Drosophila melanogaster: one gene and its partners. The protein of the gene in region 2 purifies or fractionates together with the protein of the main gene of each other region. This does not show direct contact. Each region holds a gene or a part of one and is shown on either strand. Other genes may lie near its edges. The genes, in order: dsh, Arr2 and ninaE.

Region 1 (7,958 bases), on a different chromosome or scaffold from region 2:
ATTGTCATAATATATCAAATAAAGACAATTAACATTTAGAACGTAAATTTCCCACGTGCTAATTAAGGATCACATACACATCCCTCTGCTTAAACATAAGTTGATTAGTTCTATGCTATCTTCTCAATTACAAGTTCTTAGTCTAAAATGAAGAACTGACCAATGCAATGGGAGTTAACATCCTTAACAGCTAGTTATGCATATATGGTAATTGAAGTTCAAACTTCTCTGAGTTGCAACTTGTTGGTTCACAAAGTTTTTTAGAATTCCAAAGACTGCTGCAATTTAAGCTACAAGCTAGTCACATGAATATGGTAATTAAGTCATAATATGCCTATGTTTTGATGTTTAAACTTCCTCTCTAGATGCTGACTAATAAGTCATAATAAGCTTATGTTTTGATGTTCAAACTTCAAACTCTCTAAATGCTAACTATAAGTATGGTAATTTAAATCTTAAGTAAATTGAAGTTCAAACTCTCTCTAAATCCTTACATTAATGCGATTTGCAGCAGAGCTCCACAGCCCATCCTGTCGATGGTTGTAAAACGACTGATGCTTATAGACTAGTCCGCATGGCGATAGAGTACGATCTGCAGCCGATTGCCTGGACCGGATCAGCATCAGAATTTCGGCGGGTGCTATGAGCTCTCGGCATTCTTCTTCTTCAGCGTCTCCATGACGCCGGCGAAGTTGGCCGTCTTCTTTTTGGCCGACTTGGGCGTGGACGTCTGGCTGCGGACGCGCATCTGGGTGGGGGCCACATCGTCGCTGAAATCAAAGTCGTTGGCCTTCTGCGGTCTGCGGGGACACGAAAATCAATCATAAGTTATGTTAACCTTCGGATGGTGCTGCACTTGTTCTTACTCCTGCTCAATGGCGTCGGTGGCCTGTTCGAGTTCCTTGCTATTGCCGCCAGATCCCGCCTCCGGCGATGGAGCCCTGCGTCCCGGAAATTGCCATTGCAGTTCCGGAATATTTCCCGCCTCCAGCATCAGATAGTAGCCCTCTAGCTCCTCCGCGTTGGCGGAGAACTTGTCCGCCGTATTCGCCGCCGGCTCCACATCCGTTGCCATCGTTTTCTCGGATTTAAACAATCCAAATGAACTGGAAATTTGCGTTTCTTTCCACAATAGAACCTATTGGTTTCGCGACCTTTCTGGAATGAAAGCGATAGTTTGCTTTGGCGTGCTTATCGAACAGTTATCGAACGTTCGTTGCTATCGATTTTCGGGCTTAGTGTTGCAAAGTGTCCGAGCTGGGCGGTTGATTTGAACACATTTGCTGCTCGAAATGGATTTTCTATTTATAGGTTTCATTATTCTCTTCTTTATTAAGTGCACACCCATGCCCGGAATGTTTCCGCTCCGAGTGCACACAACTTCGAGGATTGTTCTCGATGGCGCATTGTTTGGTTTAGGGGGAAGAACAATATTATCTTGTTGAGACTTTTACTTTTTAGGATGGAAAGTATGTGTTTAAATATTGTTAATCTGTACAAAGAAATAAGAACTAACAAAAATTAGACTTCCTTTTTAATGTATATTCCTCAAATTACGAACAAACGCTAATATGTTTTAGGAATATTTTAAAAGTCTTCTTGGCAATTTGATTTGCACTTGAAAACAGCTAAAATGCGTTAAAGAAACCAATCTCATGCATATGGAAAAGCCATCGATTATTCATTTTATTTGTATTTATTTACTTTGTGATTACTAAATTCTTAGAACTTTATTCAAAATCATTCTCGCCCGTCATGCTGCCGTTCCTGCTCCTCCGCTCCGCTCCGCATCATCCATATATATATATATATATATATATATATATATATCATATATCATATATCTCAGTTGATCTGATCTGATCGGGTCCACAACCGATTGCTGCCGGACACGGATATCCCTGTGCTGATCCTCCTGCTGCCTCACGAGCCCTCGCTGATCCTTGACTCGTTGCGGCTGGGTGTTTAGCGTTCTTTTCTATGACTTACACATACCATACATATACATAAGTATTATTATTATTATTATAATTATTATTATTATTATTATTATAATTATAATTATTATATTGTGGTTTGCTGTTTGCTTGCTTTGTATACTCGTATATAAAAAAGAATAATCGTACATATTTAATTTAATTAATTAAAAACACAATTTGATTGCAAAAAGAAAGGTTTCTACAATACGTAATTAAATACGGATACGTCCTGATCGTTGGTATTGTTGCCGCCACCGCCACCGCCTCCGCCGCCGCCCCGATTGGAGGAGCCGGATGATTTGTTAGAGCCATGAGCGGCGATGGTCAGCTGGTTGGCCTGATGGATCACCGAGGTGATGTCGCTCTGCGACGCCGAGATATCCTTGCTGGTCAGCACATCGCTGCTACTCGATCCCGACGAGATGTGTCGCTCGGCGATGCCGTACTGGATCGGCTGATAGCCGTGACTTGGATTGTACGTGGCCGAATATGGCATATAAATGGGCGGGTTCGGTAGCGGCCCGATGTCGCTGGTGATGCTCTCGGTGTCCGCATGGCTAAGCGCATGGCCGCCATGCCCGTGCGGCAGCTGGTGCGGATGCAGATGTCCTCGGCCCAACAGATTGGGATTGCGCTCCTCGTTCACCACGTAGTAGCACTGCTCCGAGAAGGTCAACTTATTGACCGTATGCTTGATGTAATTGCTGCGCAGCATCGCCGAGACGATCCTTCGCGCCTCCCGCCTATCCTGAACATCCTCCACATTCTCCAGCACCCAATTGACCGCATCGGCGCCGATAAATGCATTGGGAATCGTTATCTTTAGCCACATGCGATCCCTGATCTCCAGGCCGCTGTCCGGCTTCGTCATCGCCTTAACGATCTCCTCGAGGTTATTCTGGTCCAGACGCTCCTTAATCGGCTCCGCAATGTCGGCAATAATACTGTCGTGCGATGTGAGGGCCTGAGTGTGCGCCACCCAAGCACCGGGATCGATGGGTCGCACCGGCTCCGTGCGCGGAATGGTGAAGTAGCCCTTGGGATTTGGGTCCCAGCACTTGGCCACCACCAGCTTGATGGGTCCCGGCTTCTGAACGACTTCTCTCAGCACACGTACCGCCTCGTCGTTGGTCATGTTCTCGAAGTTGACATCGTTCACTTGGAGGATCATGTCGCCCGGTTCGATGCGTCCATCGAGTGCCACTGCGCCGCCTTTCATGATGCTGCCCACGTAGATGCCGCCGTCGCCGCCGCGATTCGATTGCCCGACAATGGATATGCCCAGAAAGTTGACCGCCTCCATGTTGATGGAGACGGTAATGATATTTAGGGACATGGTCGAGTCGGTTATGGAGCTGTACGAGGAGGTGCGCGACATGCTGGGCGCCCGTTTTTTGCGCCTCTGCGGCTTCTTGCGCACCTGCAATCGCTGAACGCTGCTATAGTCGGTCATGTCGCGGTCCAGCGTCAATTCGGATTCGGTGCCAAAGAGACTGGTCGAGTCCAGATCGCTGGAGAGCACGGATGCCGATTGATATGTGAGCGGTGGCGGCTGCAGCAGCGGATTGCCCATCATCTTCTGGTGATGGAGCACCTGCTGCTGTTGCTGCTGCGCCAGCTGGACAGGCTGCACCTGCTGCTGCTGTTGTTGTTGCTGTTGCTGGTGCTGCTGCTGCTGTTGTTGTTGCTGCTGCTGATGCTGCTGCTGTTGCTGCTGTAGCTTCCTGTTGGTCAGACCCATGCCCAATTCACACTCACTGGTTGGCAGCTCGGAGCAGTTATCTGACTGATTGGTACCATCGGCGGAGACCAGCCAGGACACCACTCGCCCATTGAAGCAGGGCAGTATGGTGGAGTCGTCGGCTATTTCCTCTTTGACCACACCGAAATCGGCGTCCATTGACTTGAAGAAGTACTTGTAGTTGTTGTTCTGCTTGTTCAGCACCAGCTTGAAATCGCGCAGCGTCACCTGGGCGGATGGAATGGGGATCTTCACCAGATACGGCGTCGTCTCATCGTCGATGTGGTATATCACCTTCGTCTCCTGCCCGCCGCCCCTGTCCGCGTCCATTTTAGCTGCGCCGACTGCGGAAATCCACGGGAAAACTCCTCGACGCGATAAAACGCGATCAAAACGAAATGCGATGGATGCGGTGGGGAGGTGGCGTGGGAAGTTGGTGGGGAAAAATCACAGGGAAAACGGGATTAAGCCAGGGAAAAGCCGATACAACAAACAAAATTCACTCGATTTTGCTTTTCTCCCCCTGGTCGCTCTAGCCCTCTCGCTCTCGCACGCGTTTCTTTTACTTTTTCTTTCTCTTTTTTTTGGGCTGGGTATTTCGATTCAATGGAAGCGGCGGCTGTTAATTCGTCGATTTGCACGGCGTTGATATTGCTCCATTAGCACGATTTGGTGCGCTTTAATGTCGGTGCACGCAGCGGGGGCAGGGCGAAACGAGCATATTGCTAGTTTATCAATAAATTTGTTAGAATTTTGAGACTAAAAAAAAACAGTGTGTTAGCCGCTCGTCACGCACGGAATGCCAAAGCGCCGGGCAGTTGGTCACACTGCCGGCGATGCCAGACCCTTTCGAATTCGAACATTCTTAACATTTTCTCAAACGAATATTCTGAAAAAGCGTATGGAAAACTACTAAAAACTGCAATGTATTTAGTTTCTATTGGAAATGCTCTCTCTAACGATATTTGCTTTACAATTTGAATGTAGTTCAAACACTTTTAAAATTAAATACCAAAGTTATCGATAAATATCGTTTAATTTGAATACTTATTCAAAACAATAAATTTATTATAATTTAACAAAATAGCAATTTCTATTACATAAAACATGTAGAATCTAAAACTACAGCTATATTGAACTCTTAATTGTATTAATTTACCATATAATGATGTAGCATAGTTGAAGAGTGTCCTGTTTAAAAGTAGAGTCTTTATCCTTGTCATGGAAACTTGACCAAGGAAACTCATCCATCCATCCACTTGAAGCCTGCGTTCCTTATCTTCTTTCGCTTTTCACACGAAAATCTCTAGCGTTGGCCGCAGTTTATTTATAGCTGCCCGATTTCCAGATAACCCCGCCCGCCATTTATCACGCAATGGCGCTCGTTATTTAAATCAGTTTTCTCTTTTATTTGTATGCTTTGAATTGGGATCACTTAGATATACACTCGACTAACTTACTGGCTAGTCCTCCACGCGGGCGTAGGCACATGTACGCCCGGTTTTATATTATTGAATCGACTACGATAATAGCAATTTAAAAAAAAAGGATTTCGAAGGGGGCGGGACTCGCGGGGAAGGCGGAGGGGGGCTATGTATTCCAACGCATTTAAAATAAAAATCATTATTGATATACCTCGACCGCCCGGAACTTCGCAATCCCTTCGAGAGTTGGGCGAGCATTTTACAATTAATTGTTTTCTTTAGTTTAGTTTATATTACATAGATACATCTGCCGTTTGTATTTATGTATGTCCGTCCGCTGTTTATAATATACGAGATATATATATATAAAAATTTATATAAATATATATATATATATATTCATATATATAAATATATAATTATATATACGTGTATATATATTAATATATATTTATATACATACATATATATATATACATATAAATATATATAAATTTACGCTACACTAGCTATTACAACTAAGTTAATGGTTTTACAAAAAAAAACTTGTATCTGTTTTATTACAACTACAGCATAAAACGAATTATCGAGTGTCCGCTTTGTTTGTTTGTGTATGTGTATGGGGGAGGGGGATGGGGATGGGGAGGGGAGTGCTGTGTGTGAATTATTTTTTACAATGTGATACGTGCTCTTCCTGTGGCCACCATGGACCAGGCCTCCACGCTCACTTAGCGTTGACCAGCTCGACAATGTTGCTGCTGATCGAGAGGCGATCGACGATATCCAGCAGGATCTCCACATCCTTGATGGTGGCAACCGTCTCGGGGGCACCCAACAGATTCACATGCTTGCCATCGATGTTCGCATAGAAGCATTTGTTCTTGAAGATGACGGCCCGATCGTAGGGCACGCGGCACGTGTTCTTGTCAACGACAACGCGCCGGAAGAGCACGCACGACGGCTGATACTTGTGACGGTCCTCCTCGGGTATGTTGTACGCCTTGAGATCGCCCGTAAAGATGGTCATTGTCTGGCGGGGCATCATCGACGGCGAGACCTTGTACAGCGTCACCTTGCTGGTCCATTTGCCCGATGGCACCTTTATCCGTGACGCCACATTGGCCAGCTTGACCAGCGCCAGCTCCAGGCAGGTGCGCTGCTGGCGCGCCATCTTCGACAACATATCCTTGGCCGTGCTAACCACATGCCACGTCTCATAGCAGGTGATCTTCTTTACCACACGACCATCCTCCTCGTGAAACGTTGTGGTCTCGGGCGGAAAATATTTGGGACTGTTGGCATCGTCGATGCCACCGCCGGTGGGCAATATTTCGCGCAGCGTTGTCAGCTCCTTGTCGCGCTGCTGCTCCTGCTGGTTCTCCTTGCTGCGACGCTGCGGAACCAGGCTCGGCTTCTTGAACACCGGCTGGACATCGTTATCGGCCAGCAGATTGCTCAGCCTCCGGTCCGCAATCAGCGCATTCACCGACGACGCTGTCGTGGACAGCACATTGCGCCGATTGTTGTTCAACTTGTTAACCGCTACCGCTGCTGGAGCGGACGTCATCGCCGCCGACGCCGCCACCGACGTCGTTGTCGTCACCTGCTTGGACTTGGCATTGGCATTGACATTGGCATTCTTACGGGTAACAATAGATACCGGTATATTATCGATATCAAAATCGAGATCTGGATCCGGATCGTCCTCTTCGGTGTCGACGTCCGTGGGACAGAGCTCCTTGCCCATGCTCATCAGCGGTTTCATCGACTGCGTCTTCTTGCCCATTTCCGCGTTGAGTATCCTGGGCCGGGGCTTCGGCAGTTGACTCTGGATATGCACTGGTCCCATTTTGGTATTGACACTACTGTTGCTGGCCAAGATCTTGATGCGCTTGGCTGGATTCCCCGCCGTCGTATTGTTGTGGTTAACAGCAGCGGACAGGGATTTCTGCGTGCTGTTAACAGTGATGGATTTCTTATCGCCGGCAACCGAATTGCCGGTTCCGATATTCTTGGTACGGGGCCTGCCCAAAGCGACCTTTTTGATTGAATTACCGCCAGCTGCGGAAGCGGCCATAGCAGTGTGTGATCTGGAAATGAGCACATCGTCCTGATTGATAATGTCATCGATGTTTACAATGGTGAATGTGGGCATATCCTCCGATTCGGAATCGTTTTTCCCATCATTGCTAGCGTCACCCTTGCCGCCGCCACCACCACCGCCAGTTGAGCGCGTTGCGGGCGTGGATCTAATCGAATTCGAATTGGAGTTCGACAATGAGTTTATCTTGTTACTGCTGCCGCGTCGCTGTGGCAGCATCCTGGCTGACGCACTGCCCGCCTGGCCCACCTTCGGTCGCGCCGTGATCGCTCTCTGCGCGCTCATCTTGCTGTTGGCACCATTCACCACAGGCGGTCCGCTGCGCTGCTGGGAGCCGCCCGAAATGATTATGCGCTTGCGTGGCACAGGACTCTCGCTTTCGCTAGTGTCCATTTTGCGTTTGGCCGCGGCGGACGCAGTGCCCTTGCCCGTGCTCGATCCGTCTGTCATGCTGGCATTGCTTTTGGCCATATTCGTGGCCATTGTGCGACGCATCTGCTGCAGGCTAGTGGACGCCGTGCGGCCGCTGCTCGAATTTATGGATATCTTGGATGTGGCGCCGCTGCTGGAAGTCAGATTGCCAGCGCTGGTCGCGCTGGCATTGGCATTGACATTTTTCGCCTTCGGTGGACGTCCACGTCCACGCTTGACGGGCGGCTGTTTGCGTCGCAGCTCCTGCTCGTACTCGGCCTCGCTTATATCGTCGTCGTCGT
Region 2 (6,544 bases):
TTTTCTTACTGAATTGCATGAATATGTATGTTAATAAATTTGTGTAAAAAATGGATAATTGATTTTAGGCATGAAGTGCATGTTAAGAGCTATTCCAAAATAATGAGCAACCACCACTTTTCAATTATTTTTCAACCCAATTAACTTACTGAAAGTACTTGGTTTCCTTGGCACTTCGGTCAGCTGGACTTCTGGTTTCGGCCACATCCGTGTCCAGATCCTTGGCGTACCTCCTGGGTCTTTCCGTTTGGACATTCTGTGAGGGTTGCTGCTGCTGCTGCTCCTGCAATCTGGCAATGCGAGGTGGAATCACATGCAACACATCGCTGGTAAAAAGAGCCGGTGGCACATTGTAGAGTTGCTGCGGCTGCTGTTGCTGCTGCAAGTGTTGCTGCTGCAAGTGCTGCTGCTGCTGCAAGTGTTGCTGCTGCAAGTGCTGTTGCTGCAACTGGTGTTGCTCCTCGACGCGGCGTTGTGGTTGCTGCAGCGAAACCCGTTGCACTGGCAGATAGTTACCTTCATATCGATATTTGGCCAAATCGGCGTGTGGAGCGATGGTCCGCTGCTGGTACTGGACACTCTGCTGCGGATACAGGGGCGGAGGGGGTGCGGCAGGAGCGGGCAACTGCTGCTGCTGGTAATCCAAGCCCAAGGGCTGATAACTCGGCCGATAGTTAATCAGCTGAAAGTGTGGCGTCTGCTGCTGAAAGTGAATCGCCGGCGGAGGAGCCGGACTATAGCCGCCCACAATGGGCGTGGCAGCGGCACCATACTCAAAGCGACGAAGACGCGGTGAATCGTAATACAATTGTCTTGGATGGTAAAAGACATGTGGCTGCTGCAACAATGCCGGCGAAACGAAAAGCAACAATTGCAGGAGGAATATTTGCATCTTTAGCAGTCCGTTTAACTTTCCAATTGGCAGATCCATCGCGTTGCACTCTCGTCAAATTTGTGGCAGCATTTTGACAACAACATAGCCATTTATAGTTGGCCACTTTTCGGGGCTTGGCCAAAAGCCGGAAGTCACTTGCCCAGCAGTCAGCGGTGTGTGAAATCGATCGACGCTGCTGCCCCGGATTGTGCAATGCTCCAACGGTCAGCTGCAGGGCTTATATAAGATATGGCAAATAAAATGCGAGAAAATTGTAAAATAGAAAAAACCAAAAAAAAGAGGAAAATCAGCTAGACTGACGGGGATGAGACCTAGAATCAAACTGCTGGCAGCTGGCGGCCTTAGCCATCATCAAGGTCAAAAGCTTGGGCTATTTAGCATACACAAAAATTGTGTATTTTGGCAAACGCATTGTCAACATCTGGAGCTTGGAACTTCCGTTGACCGTTAGAGCCGGCCATATCCAGTTCTGGTTGATCCTGATTGGTGGAACACATATCCTGGCAGCCTGTTGCTTCTTGCAAGGGGTTGAAAGCCTACGATGTGACCTATAAGCATTGGGCTTTTCAACCCCCTGTCATCGTTGAAAAATCACCCTTAGAATTCCTGCCAGCAGATCCTTCGTCGTCGAGCTGCGCAGTTGTTTAGATCATTCGACTTCTGAAGTTGAAACCCACAGCACCGCCAAGAACAATCCACTACCAAAAACCGAATCCTTACCGAATCACTTTTGGATACTACATCGCAAACGAGAGAAAAGGTGAGTGCTTTTGATAGCCATAACACATTTATAATATAGCGACACGAGGTCTGTTCAACTCATCAACATGCATATGTACGGGTACAAACTCCAGATCCACCAAAGTTACATTATAGATACGATTATAATACAAAGATTGTGGCCTCCACGAGAGACTGCTGCAACAAATTTTCAGTGCTTTCGATTTAGTTCAATTCGGTTCACAACAGAGCTAGAAGAGATTGAAGATCGGTGGCCTAGTCCGCCATGTTCACATTGTTCATGCGCATCTTGGCGAAGTCCTCGAATACAATATTATCGTCATCATCCTGGTAATAGCCCTTCACATTGCGGTGCTGCTCGATGGACTTCATTTTCTTCATGGCATTCGAGCGCTTCTTCTCAATGGTTCCTATACCACATCAAAGGAATTACAAACTAGAAGTCAAGTTCAAGTAATCTTCTAAAGCTTACCAGGTGCCGGTTGGAGTAGCTTGAAGGGCACATCCGTCTGCATTTCACCTCCCAGAGTGCCGCAGTTGAGCTTAATGCGCACCGAGTACGAGATGACAATACCACAGGCATCTCCCGTGGACTTGCCCTCCTGCACCATGGTGGATGAAGCCAGGTTGACATCCTCGTCCTTCAAGTGACCATCCAGGGCGATACCTGAGTTCACAATTAAATAATCCATTAGAAACTATCCAGAATCACAACTATCACATCCAAATCCTACCATGGCGATCCTTGTTGTTAGCCGCCAGCGGAATCAAGTAGAAGGTCTTGGTGAGATTGGCGCCCGGAGTGATGGGGCAGCCCTCCTTGGTCTCCAGCTGGGCCACATGCTTGCTGAACTGGGCGTTCACCATGGTGATCTCAGTGTGCTGCACAATGAAGCACTTGATGCTCTTCACGGACTTCTTGGAGTTGTTCGACACCTGGACGGTGGCAGCCGTCTTCTCGCCATGATAGTAGATCTCCCTGTCCAGCGTAACCTCCAGACTGATCTTGCCATTCGAGAAGGTGAATCCCTTGCTGACCAGCGAGCTGGGCAGACGCTGGCCACGATTGAGGGGAGCGTACTGCAGCTTCTTGATCACCAGACTGACCATGCTCCGCTTGTGCTGGCGATCGTCCTCGGAGTCGCCCACAAATGCCCGGATGGTGTACTCGACGCCCAGGGGCTTGCCATTGTCGTCGCCCTCCTGCTGCAGAGTAACGGAGCTGGGCGAATTGGGCGGGAAGTGGAAGGTGAACGGATAGGCGTTGCTGCCCAGTTTGCGGACCAGCTTCTCCTGCATCGGTGTCATCTCCATGTTGGGATTGGTCATGGGCACAATTTGCTCCCGGCACAGGATAAGCTCCTTGGAGAACTTCACTCCCATGACCTCGTCCTCCTCGCGACCATAGCGATAGGTGGTGGCCAGTTGGCCAAAGACTTTCCTGTTCTTTAGATAGTCCGGTTCCACCACAATCACTCCATCGACGGGATCACAGTAGTCGATGTGGTCGATGAAGTCGCGGCGTCCCAGATAAAAGGTGACCTTGCCGTTGGGCGTGGCCTTCTTAAAGACCTTCACGGATACAACCATTGTGGATTAGTGGATTTCTTTGATTCCTGGCAAATGCAACTGGGCAATTCGAGGCTAAGTCGGGCGATGCGCGTTATAGAGTTTTCCGTTCGGCGGAGGAAAATGCGAAACCCAAGTGCCGTACAACCTGCTTATATACCTTTGCCCTGGCCCTGTCCGTGGGTCTTCATTCTGGCCACTAACTGGATTTGCTCGTTATGCACTTGTTTGTTGGCTTGTCCAACACGACAATAAGATAGAACCATAGGAACTAAGGGAAAACTGCAAACAAGCTGCTTCCAGGGGTTGTTCTATTTTCTGCGCAGTTTGCCACTTGCCCGAGCAAATTGGCTAATGTCAAGTATCTTTTTCCGATTTTCCGACCTAGTACGAGGTCATTTGGCCAACTGTTGAATAATTGAGCATGGTAGGTTGGAGCTGGATTAGCATCCGATTTGGTGTTACCGGGTTGTTATCAATCGGCCAGTTTTGTTCTCTCTTAGCCAAACATCAGTGGGCAGCAAGGAGAAACCTTAGATGTTTTTAATTTTGTTATGTATCAAACGTCGATATATTGATTTTAATGTGAGAGGTATAATTGAAATTGGCATTTCTTACAACTAGCTTACCAAAGGTCGCAATTCATTGTAGTTAATGTTAGATAATATTTAAGGTCCAGAGAAATTGGTATTATTTTGAATCTCTCCTTTTTTTTTCTTTGCAGTTGAGATCTAGAACCAAGATGCAGACACAGACACACACCACCACAGACCGACATGGCTATAGCCTGCGCTTTTCGCCTTTCGAGGCTAACTACTTGCTGCTAGCTACAAGGTGAGATCAATCTTAAGCTCTAAAACCAACAATATACTAATAGAAAACCATTTTTTTTCGATACCCAGCCAACTGTACGGTCTTGCTGGAGGTGGTTCCCTCTTTCTGCTGGAACAGAACTCCAACACAAATTCCTCATCCACAGATGGCCAGAGTCTCGGAGAGCTGTGCCGCCTAGAGTGGTCCGATGGATTGTTCGACGTCGCCTGGTGTCCGTATGCCGCCGATATCGCCGCCACTGCCTCCGGAGATGGATCGCTTCAGATCTGGTGCGGATTGGATGGCGAATCGGCGAGCAACCAGCTGACGCCGAAACAGCCGCTGATCTGCCTGCAGGAGCACAAGAACGAGGTGTACAGCCTGGACTGGGGCGAGAAGTGGAACTACCACACGCTGCTCTCGGGCAGCTGGGATTGTACACTGAAATTGTGGGACTGCAACAGACAGAACTCCATCACCACATTTGTGGGCCACAACGATCTGATCTACGGGGCCAAGTTCTCGCCCCTGATCGCCAATCTGTTTGCAAGCGTAAGTACCGATGGACATCTTAACTTATGGAACTCTCTTGACTTTGCAGGTAAACCCCTGATGAGCATCGAGGCGCATGCGAGTGAGGCACTATGCTGCGACTGGTCGCACTTCGATCGCAATGTCCTGGTCACTGGAGGTTCGGACGGTCTGATCCGCGGCTGGGATCTGCGCAAGATGAGGACGCACGTCTTTGAGCTGTACTCTGGAGAATTCGCTGTCCGGCGATTGGCCTGTTCACCGCACTCGGCAGCGGTCTTGGCATCGGCCAATTATGATTTTACCACAAGGTAAGTGGAATGATCTTAGGCTTTCAAAAAACAGGACATTTTTATGGTTAGTAACAACTGTCCACTTTTGTCACCTTTTTAGGATTTGGAATCTGGAGCGTGGTGAGTCCGCCCAGGAGGTCAATGCGCGGCACACGGAGTTCGTGTGCGGATTGGATTGGAATCCCCACAGGACCCATCAGTTGGCCGACTGTGGCTGGGACTCGTTGGCCAACGTTTATACCCCGCAGTGTCTGAGCGGTGATCTGGTCGTCTAGGTTAGTACAGGGCATGCCCAAAACTGGAAACTGGAACTGGTACTCCCTAAATACCGAAAACACATGTGATAAGGCGCTAGTGGCGTCGAAATAGCCAGGCCTACAAGCGGTGCACCGTTATTACGATAGCTGAGCTATATGCAATGCCTATAAGGAACTGTAAGGAACCGAAGACAAGGACTCATCGGCGCAACGATGACGTGTAAATAGCTGTGTGATAAACGCTGAACGGGCTAAAACCTCAAGCAGGTGCTTCAAAATGTCAATAAAAGCTTACATATATCACGAGTATTATATGAATTATATGGGTTTTCTGCGCTGCTCTGTATGTTATTATGGCCTTCGCAATAAGTTTCTTGGCCCCTGGCTATAATTTGCACTCGGCCCTTGTCTTAACAAGAATTTAACGGATCACGGAATTGGAGTTCGAATTGGTTAGGTGGCAAAGAGCCAGCCAGACGCTGACGGAGATTGACTTGGCATCCTTATCCGGTTGGCTTAACTCTGACCAAACAAACACGCAATAAAGCGCTAATTTGCTGCAACGTTTTATTGCCCGAGTGGAGCCGAAATCCCTGTCATTCCCGGAATTGACACAGCCAACAAGGTGGATATTGCCCAAAGGTGTGCCAGCCATCGCACCTTTTCGGCATGGCATGGTGTGAAATGGCAGCAGTTGCTCCCTGCGAACTCAGATCACAGATCCCAGATCCTGGCACCCCGATCCCGTCATTATCAACAGACTGCGCTTTAACTGCCACTCGGGGCAAATATTTGCTTTGAAGCCAATTGGCGCTGATTTCTTCTGACAATTGGGGGCAGATCAGGAGGACCTTACTCTCGATTCTCGACACCAGGGAACAGCAGCTGCTGACCCGTAATTATCTGCTCGCCAGTCAAGTGATGCCAAAATTGATATTAATGCCTTGTTTGTGTTAATAAAAATCGGTTATTCGGAGCCTGCCAAGCTGAGAGGTGCTGAATTTATCCTTAGGCGAAGACAGATCTTGATGGGAATTCGGCACCTCATTTTATTTTAAATAATTATTTAATGAAGGAGTGTTTTGCCAGTATGTATTATTTGTTTTAAGTTCGGTGCCGAAACTTGTGCAGCTGAATTTTTCTTTGGTAAAAAAAGCTTAGCATCAAACATGATAGTTGTGTAAATATGAATAAAATAAATTATGTTATTATGTTGTGTCATGTCATGTTATGTTATGTTATTATGTTATAATGTTGTTACATTACATAAGAAATTTTGAAATATTTTAAATTTATGGTTGCAACGGTTTGTGCTATAAATATGTGGCGCCGCCTATCGGTAGTTTACAGTACCTGTCTATTTTACATGCATTCTACATACATGCACTGCTTGCGAATACATATCAAATTAATATGCACTGCTTTATAACGTTAATTTGAATATT
Region 3 (6,935 bases), on a different chromosome or scaffold from region 2:
CTTATGGCACCGTGTACGCCGCCAGGGACAAGCAGACGCAGGTGCGAATCGCCATTAAGGAGGTGCCGGAAAAGAACTCGCAGGATGTGCAGCCACTGCACGAGGAGATTAAGTTACACTCTCAGCTGCGACATCGCAACATAGTTCGCTATTTGGGATCGTGCTCGGAGAACGGCTTCTTCAAGATCTTCATGGAGCAGGTGCCGGGAGGATCGCTTTCCGACCTCTTAGAGACCAAATGGGGTCCGCTCAAGGACAACGAGTCCACCATGGCCTTCTACTCCAAGCAGATCCTCGAGGGGCTGAAGTACCTTCACGAGCAGGACATTGTTCATCGCGATATAAAGGGTGACAACGTGCTGGTTAACACGTATAGCGGCGTGGTTAAGATCTCCGATTTCGGCACCTCCAAGCGGCTGGCCCGCATCAACCCGATGACGGAGACCTTTACGGGCACCTTGCAGTACATGGCGCCGGAGGTGATTGACCAGGGAGTACGCGGCTATGGCCCGGCGGCTGACATCTGGTCCTTTGGATGCACAAACGTTGAGATGGCTACGGGCAAACCACCGTTTATCGAGCTGGGTAGCGCCCATGCGGCCATGTTCAAGGTGGGCTTTTACAAGAAGCATCCGAACATACCCGAGGAGCTGTCCGCCAACGCAAAGAACTTTATTTTGCGTTGCTTTGCCATCAGCGTGATGGACCGACCCTCCGCCTCGCAACTTCTGGAAGATCCCTTCCTACAAGAGTGAGTTTGCTTAATTGTTTTGCCTAATTCCTTTCTAATTGCACTTTTAATTTTCTCAATAAGTAAACCCCGCAAGGTGCGCCCAGCCCTGCCCATCAATACTGAGTTCGGACGCAGCATTTCGGTGCCGGCTGATCGGTTTGTGCACAAAACCACACCGCCGCTGAGCTACAACACAACCTGCAATACGCCCACAACGCCGGAATTGGAGTAAGTTAAACGCTGCGACTATTCTTATCATGTTCGACCTTCCTCAATTACAAGCAGAGGTTATCTTATCTGTTGAAAATTATCATTTATATTTTGCTAATTTTAATGAATATAAAAATTTTTCCGTGCTTCTCTATATTTTCCCATATCGTCTACTATTATAAGAGTAACAAGTGCCTTTGCTTATCGTGTAGTTAACACATTGATTGTTGCTATCAGTAAAGTGCATATTTAATGATTGGAAAATGCGCACTCGGATTTTGATACTGAGAAGAGATAGCACTTGATGTATTGTAAAATAAACGTAATTTTATATTGTACTTTCTGTTTCCTATTTCAGCATAACGCATTCATCCTCGGTGGACATTGACGAGCTGCCCAGCAACCAGTTTATGCTTGAACGGCGAAATTCCCATGGATTTTTGCTCTCGCCAGAGATTGAACCTTCCACGCCGTCCTTGCGTACGAGCATTAGTGAGACGAGCGAGACTGACGGTTTTTACAGGCTTAAAAAGGATTCGCAGAGGCGGACAACGCTTTCCAAGGTGCTGGCACTAGACGAATCCAAGATCTGCGATATTTGGCTGAAGAAGGTCGACGCTGATCAGAACTCGATTGCGATTAGGAAAAGCGATTTGGAGGTTCTAATCCGAGGACTGCGGGACTACATTATGAACGAAAACGAAAAGCATTTGGAAGCGACTATCAACGAACTGAAACAAAAGCTGAACAACGACGCAGTTGCTCTGGACCATCTTCATTTGGCGCTGTACTCCTTTCAGGACGCCGTGGTCTGCGTACTGCGGTACCATTGCATCAAACCCCATTGGATGTTCGCATTGGATAATCTGGTTAAGCGGGCCGTCCAGGCGGCGGTCACTATTTTCTCTCCTGAACTGGGCGCCAATCTGGCGGACAAAGACCTGTCTGGAAATGATGATGAGAGCTTGCGTACAAGTCTAATGCAGAAGGGTTCCACCGAGAGCCAGGAAAAGCAGAGCCTGGAAAAAGTTCTTCCCACGAGCAACACTCGCGAAGGTGTGGGATTAACGCCTGCGGAATCGGGCGGGGATGCTCTGTCCAGTTCGATGGAGTGCGCGCGCATCCTGAGAGACATCCGTGACAATCAGCAGAAGCTGCAACGCCAGCTCCTTGAGCAGCAGCGGCAGAGCATGAGGGCCCTGCATAATATCAGTCAGGAGCTGGCTCACATTTACATGGGCGGCAGAAAGAGATTAAGGTTGGTAAACCAAGTAGGACATTGTAAATTTTATTATAATTCACAATTTCATCTTAACAGACGCACAATAAACGGCTTTAACAAAAAGTGCCATAGAATGAGTACCAGTGTGGGCGGAACGTCCGGAGTCCGTCCGAATATAGCGGGCAATCCCCGGAGGCAGCTAAACAAGCATCACTTTGGTCTTCACGAAGTAGACGAGCAGTTGGAGCAGTGGTTGACCCAGCAGGAAATAGACGAGTTCTCAAAGACGCTCATCCTGAATGAAGGTTTTACATTTGACGACTTTATCTATAACATGGAAAAGCTGGACCTCATGAGGCTGGGTCTGCGGTGCGTTAAAGCTTATAAGAAAAGTACACTTAATCCATGCTCAACTAACTTTTGGTATTTTGCAGCGTTGGCATCGAAGTGCGTTTGTGGAAACTCATTATACAAGAACGTGTGTGCACCTCGTCCGATTGTGTGGACAGTCCACCAAGCACTTACCACAAACCCATTGGAGGCAATAGCTCTTTTGCGCTTATTGACAACAACAATACGCTACCATCACCCACAACCACAACTCCCGGAACGCCGGGCATCAAAACGAAAATCAAGAAAAGCGAAAGCGAGTACGATTCGTGCAGCGAGTGACTGGAGTTGAAAGCTTTCTGAGTTGTGCCTTTACAGATACTACTGATTAATTGTTAATGTTCTCCATGTGCTACTAACCGCTGCGAGGCTCAGCTCAATGAGTCTCCAGCAGCCCTGGGTTAAGTTCTCCCATGCTGACTCATGTCTTTTCAACTTTGAGTTCGAAAAGGCGTTGTCTGTGTGTCCAGTTTTAACGATTGCATGTTAACTTATAAAAATGGAATTTACATAAGTGCCTTTAATTTAAAAAAAAAAGAAAACAAAAACTGAAATAGATAATATATTGTGAAGTGCTTTGCAAAAAAGGGGTATTTCTTGTTAACTGGAAAGGATTTATAGCTTCTGAAGAAGACTATTATACATATAAGAATGAATAAACTCAAATTTGTTGTGGTTCTCCAAACTTTAAAGGCGAAAGATAACCGAAAGTTGATATCCGAACTTTTGTAGGTTCGTCATTAGGGTTTTTCCACGCTAAAAGCTGCTTTTGTTAGATATACTATGTTTTGAAAAGGCTCATTTTAATTTATAACTTTTCTAGTTCGTTTGCATTTATTTTTTTTGTTGAGTTTTTTTTTGTCCTTAACTGACATTGCAGGAAATTTAATAACTGAGTTTACATTGCTTTTTGTTATGTAAGAAAGTTGCATAATTTTTTCATTATTGTTGAAGTTTTTGATGTTATTCGAAAGCGTTTCGTTCTGTTGCTGCAGTTGTTCTTGCTGTTGTTTTTGTTGCTGTTGTTGTTGCTGTTGTAAGTAGTTAGATGTTCTTGTTGTTGTTGTTGCTGTTCTGGTTGTTGCGCCAAAGAATTTATGCCTTGGACTCGGCCTCGCTGGCGGTGGCCTGCGATTGGGCATCGCTCGATTTGCCATCGTCGACCTTGCCAAAGACGCAGCAAGGACACTTCTCCTTGAGGGCCAGGCGATATTTCGGATGGCTATACGGAATGAAAATAAAAAATTGGTTAAATATTAAGGTATATACGTTTCATAGCCCATAACCAACCTGATGCCGTATACAATTGGATTGTAGCAGGCGGCCGATTTGGCGAAGCAAGCTCCCCAAATGGTATTCAGTGGTGTAAGGCCCTCGAACTTGAACAGTCCCATGCAGTTGATGACCAGGTATGGTGTCCACGCCATGAACCACAGCGTGATGGTGACCAGAGCCACCTTGGCCAGCTTGCCCTCGGCGCTCTTCTCGGCATCCTCAGAGGAGCGGAGGGACTTGACATTCATCTTCTTGGCCTGCTCGCGCATGGCCTTCTCGTGGGCGGAGACAGCCTGTGGGAGGATATATCGGGTTAAGCGACTGGGATATGCGAGTCTCGTCGCCACTTACAGCAATGATGAACCAGTAAGAGTAGCAGATCAGGAACAGCGGAATATAGTACACGAAGATGGAGTAGAAGATCAGGTATGAGCGTGGGTTCCAGTCGCGTTCCAAGTAGTCAATACCGCACGAGGTCAGGTTACCCTCCGGCACATACCTTTTAGATTAAGAATATATATTTATAGGATAATGTTAGGTGGTAATAATATTAATACAATTGTAATTTGTAAACCTTTTGTTTGTAATTTAAGTTTTTAAACATTTGTATATAGTAGCTTTGATCATTTTTTAAAAAATGGGTTCCCAGAAGGTTTACCATTTCAAGGACTCACCTGCTCCAGCCGAAGGCGGGCGCCAGGCACCAAATGCTCGACATGAACCAGATGTAGGCAATCTTGCCCAGGGCCAGCGGAATGGTCATCGGCCGGCCGGCCATGCCCTTGACGATCACTTGGTAGCGATCCAGGGAGATCATGCACATGGACCAGATGGAGCTGCAGCCAAAGGCCGAGCCCAGTCCGGCGTATATGTCGCACATCATGGGTCCGAGCACCCAGGTCTCGAAATACAGATTTATGCCCATCATGGGCGTGTTTGTGATCATGATGCCAAAGTCGGAGATGGCCAGGTTGATGACCAGCAGGTTAGCGGGCGTGCGCAGTGATTTGGTGGTGGCGAATATGTAGATCACCACGCCATTTCCGCACCAGGAAATCATGCCGATCATGATCATGTAGGCGGTCAGGATCTTGGCCCAAATGGGGTCCATGGCGGGGAACTGGTTCCAGTACGGGCTGATCAGGTGGGCCATGTCGGGCGTGACCTTGTCCACCACCGATCCATTGGACAGGGGGGCAAAGTGTGGCCCCAGTTGCGCGGCTGCTACTGCAAAGCTGCAACACCGAAGCAAATGTTAAATTGCTAACCAGAACATCCAGTGGATCCACCGATCGTACCTCTCCATTGTGTTTTGGTTACTGGCTGCGTCACTATATCCCGCCTATATCACACTGTCTACATAAAAAGCTGCAAATTCACTAACAATATTTCTAACACTTTTTACATAAAGGGTTCCTGGATTCTGAATATTTCACTGGGGCGGACTAGTCGCGGCGATTGGTCGTTGGAAACCTGCAATGTCTGCATTCTGCCGCATGGCTTTTATAGTTTTCGCGGTGCTCGTGTAACCCCTGCTCTTGAAATTCAATTAGGCCAGCCTAAAAATATGTCTGCAATGTGCAGAGGAAAGTGTCGACAGCTTTTGGCTTATAATCATAATATCCATAACGAAAGCAAGCGCACATCGCAATGGGCCAATGTCAATAGTTAAAGGCATTTCAAGGGTTTCCACTGGGGGTTCTGGCCGAGTATTATTCTTGAGTCTCCAGATTGTGCAGAAAGCAATGGCGAAAGTCAGCGATTTAATGTGTCAATGCCTAGACAAATTTGAAGAATATTATGAAAACATATCGTAGCAGAAGAAATATCAGTATCGTTCGCCTGCGACACCAGTGCGTATGCGCAATCAAGTATACGCAGTGTGTGCGCCGATGAACGCACATCTTGAGGGCTCTGCTAATCTTGGATTATCTTAAAAAGAATGCCAGCTTTTGGAAGTAGTAAAATAATCTATTTAAATTAAGAATATGAACACCCCAGACGCTAAGCCGCTTATGGATTTTTTGTGCTGATTGATCTTTTCGCACCTCCATTGAATTTTCCGAACATGTTTTGTTTCTTTTCTTTTTGGTGTGGGCAGCTTGGATTTTATTTTGTCAGTCCAGCTTTGGCATAAAAGCCTTTTGTTCGCCTTTGTGCGATGGCTCAACACATCAGCTTGAATTGGGTCAAGTTTTAGGCTAATCCAAATGGCCAAATGGGATGCCACGCTTTGCGCCCAACCCAAATATGGAACTAAACCGAAATAACTGTCAGCTGGTGTGACAGTCGACACATGTCGGCAGATCTTTCGGTTTAAATCAATTACACACCGCAAAACAATACAAAAAAAGCGCAGGTAATAAATATTCATATAAAGTTAGCCAGCGCAAAAAACTAACAAAAATACCGAGGCGCAAAACCGGAAGCTGCGCTCATATCGCCATTATCATTACCATCAATTTGATCATCATGATCATTATATTGGCGTCATCGTTAGCCGCACTTGCGGTTCCCATACTTACGTATTTACCTACAGTTCTGTGTATGCATATATACAAATAATCTGGGTATAAACCATGAATCGCATTTCAATTTATTCGGCATTTTCGGGTTTCGCTAAACAACAAAAGTCCCCCGCCCACCTGCTAGATGGCCCAAACATAAAAGCCAAGTAACGAAATGGGTATAGCAACAACAGAGACATATGGACAAGCCAACTTGCAACAAACATTGCGATGTGAAGTGGAAGAAGGCCGCCGAAGGCGGGGAAGAAGACGATCATTTAGCATTAGCAAATAAGCGAGATAAACGCTGCGATCCGTAGACGTTGTTATTGTTGGGGAATTTGTTGTTTTCCTGCTCAATGAGGCGGGCAAATTTGAAACTAGAGAGGCAGAACCAAACTTACCCGGCACTTTGAATGCCCTTCTCTGTAATATTTAATACGACAATAATACATTTATGTTGATCGTGTATTGATAACGATAAAGATTTGAGTTCGGGGTGTATGTACCTGAAAGTATGCTCTGTATATTTCACGAATTTAATAAGTAAGTAAAGTATAAGTAAGTATAATATAATATGCTTATAATATAATATTAT

Evidence for each region.
Region 1: the proteins of Arr2 (region 2) and dsh purify together in Drosophila melanogaster (affinity purification with western blotting, with the first as the bait; one study listed by BioGRID). This does not show direct contact.
Region 3: the proteins of Arr2 (region 2) and ninaE fractionate together in Drosophila melanogaster (co-fractionation; 6 studies listed by BioGRID, with this or other methods). This does not show direct contact.

What each region holds. Positions count from the first base shown.
Region 1 is NC_004354.4:11,352,446-11,360,403, reverse strand, and holds dsh (dishevelled), read right to left. Parts: upstream 4,524-7,958; 5' UTR 4,051-4,523; coding exon 2,179-4,050; 3' UTR 1,680-2,178; downstream 1-1,679. Other genes in the region: Pa1 (PTIP associated 1), read right to left, coding at 641-800, 867-1,075; CG1737 (uncharacterized protein), read right to left, coding at 5,869-7,958.
Region 2 is NT_037436.4:8,645,600-8,652,143, forward strand, and holds Arr2 (arrestin 2), read right to left. Parts: upstream 3,338-6,544; 5' UTR 3,227-3,337; coding exon 2,371-3,226; intron 2,304-2,370; coding exon 2,109-2,303; intron 2,047-2,108; coding exon 1,892-2,046; 3' UTR 1,662-1,891; downstream 1-1,661. Other genes in the region: CG13305 (uncharacterized protein), read right to left, coding at 150-931; Pex7 (peroxin 7), read left to right, coding at 3,948-4,039, 4,108-4,860, 4,943-5,117. UniProt on the Drosophila melanogaster protein: Regulates photoreceptor cell deactivation. Arr1 and Arr2 proteins are mediators of rhodopsin inactivation and are essential for the termination of the phototransduction cascade.
Region 3 is NT_033777.3:19,882,895-19,889,829, forward strand, and holds ninaE (neither inactivation nor afterpotential E), read right to left. Parts: upstream 5,313-6,935; 5' UTR 5,137-5,312; coding exon 5,129-5,136; intron 5,066-5,128; coding exon 4,505-5,065; intron 4,330-4,504; coding exon 4,182-4,329; intron 4,124-4,181; coding exon 3,846-4,123; intron 3,778-3,845; coding exon 3,651-3,777; 3' UTR 3,361-3,650; downstream 1-3,360. Other genes in the region: Ask1 (apoptotic signal-regulating kinase 1), read left to right, coding at 1-751, 815-961, 1,302-2,201, 2,262-2,534, 2,600-2,837. UniProt on the Drosophila melanogaster protein: Visual pigments are the light-absorbing molecules that mediate vision. They consist of an apoprotein, opsin, covalently linked to cis-retinal.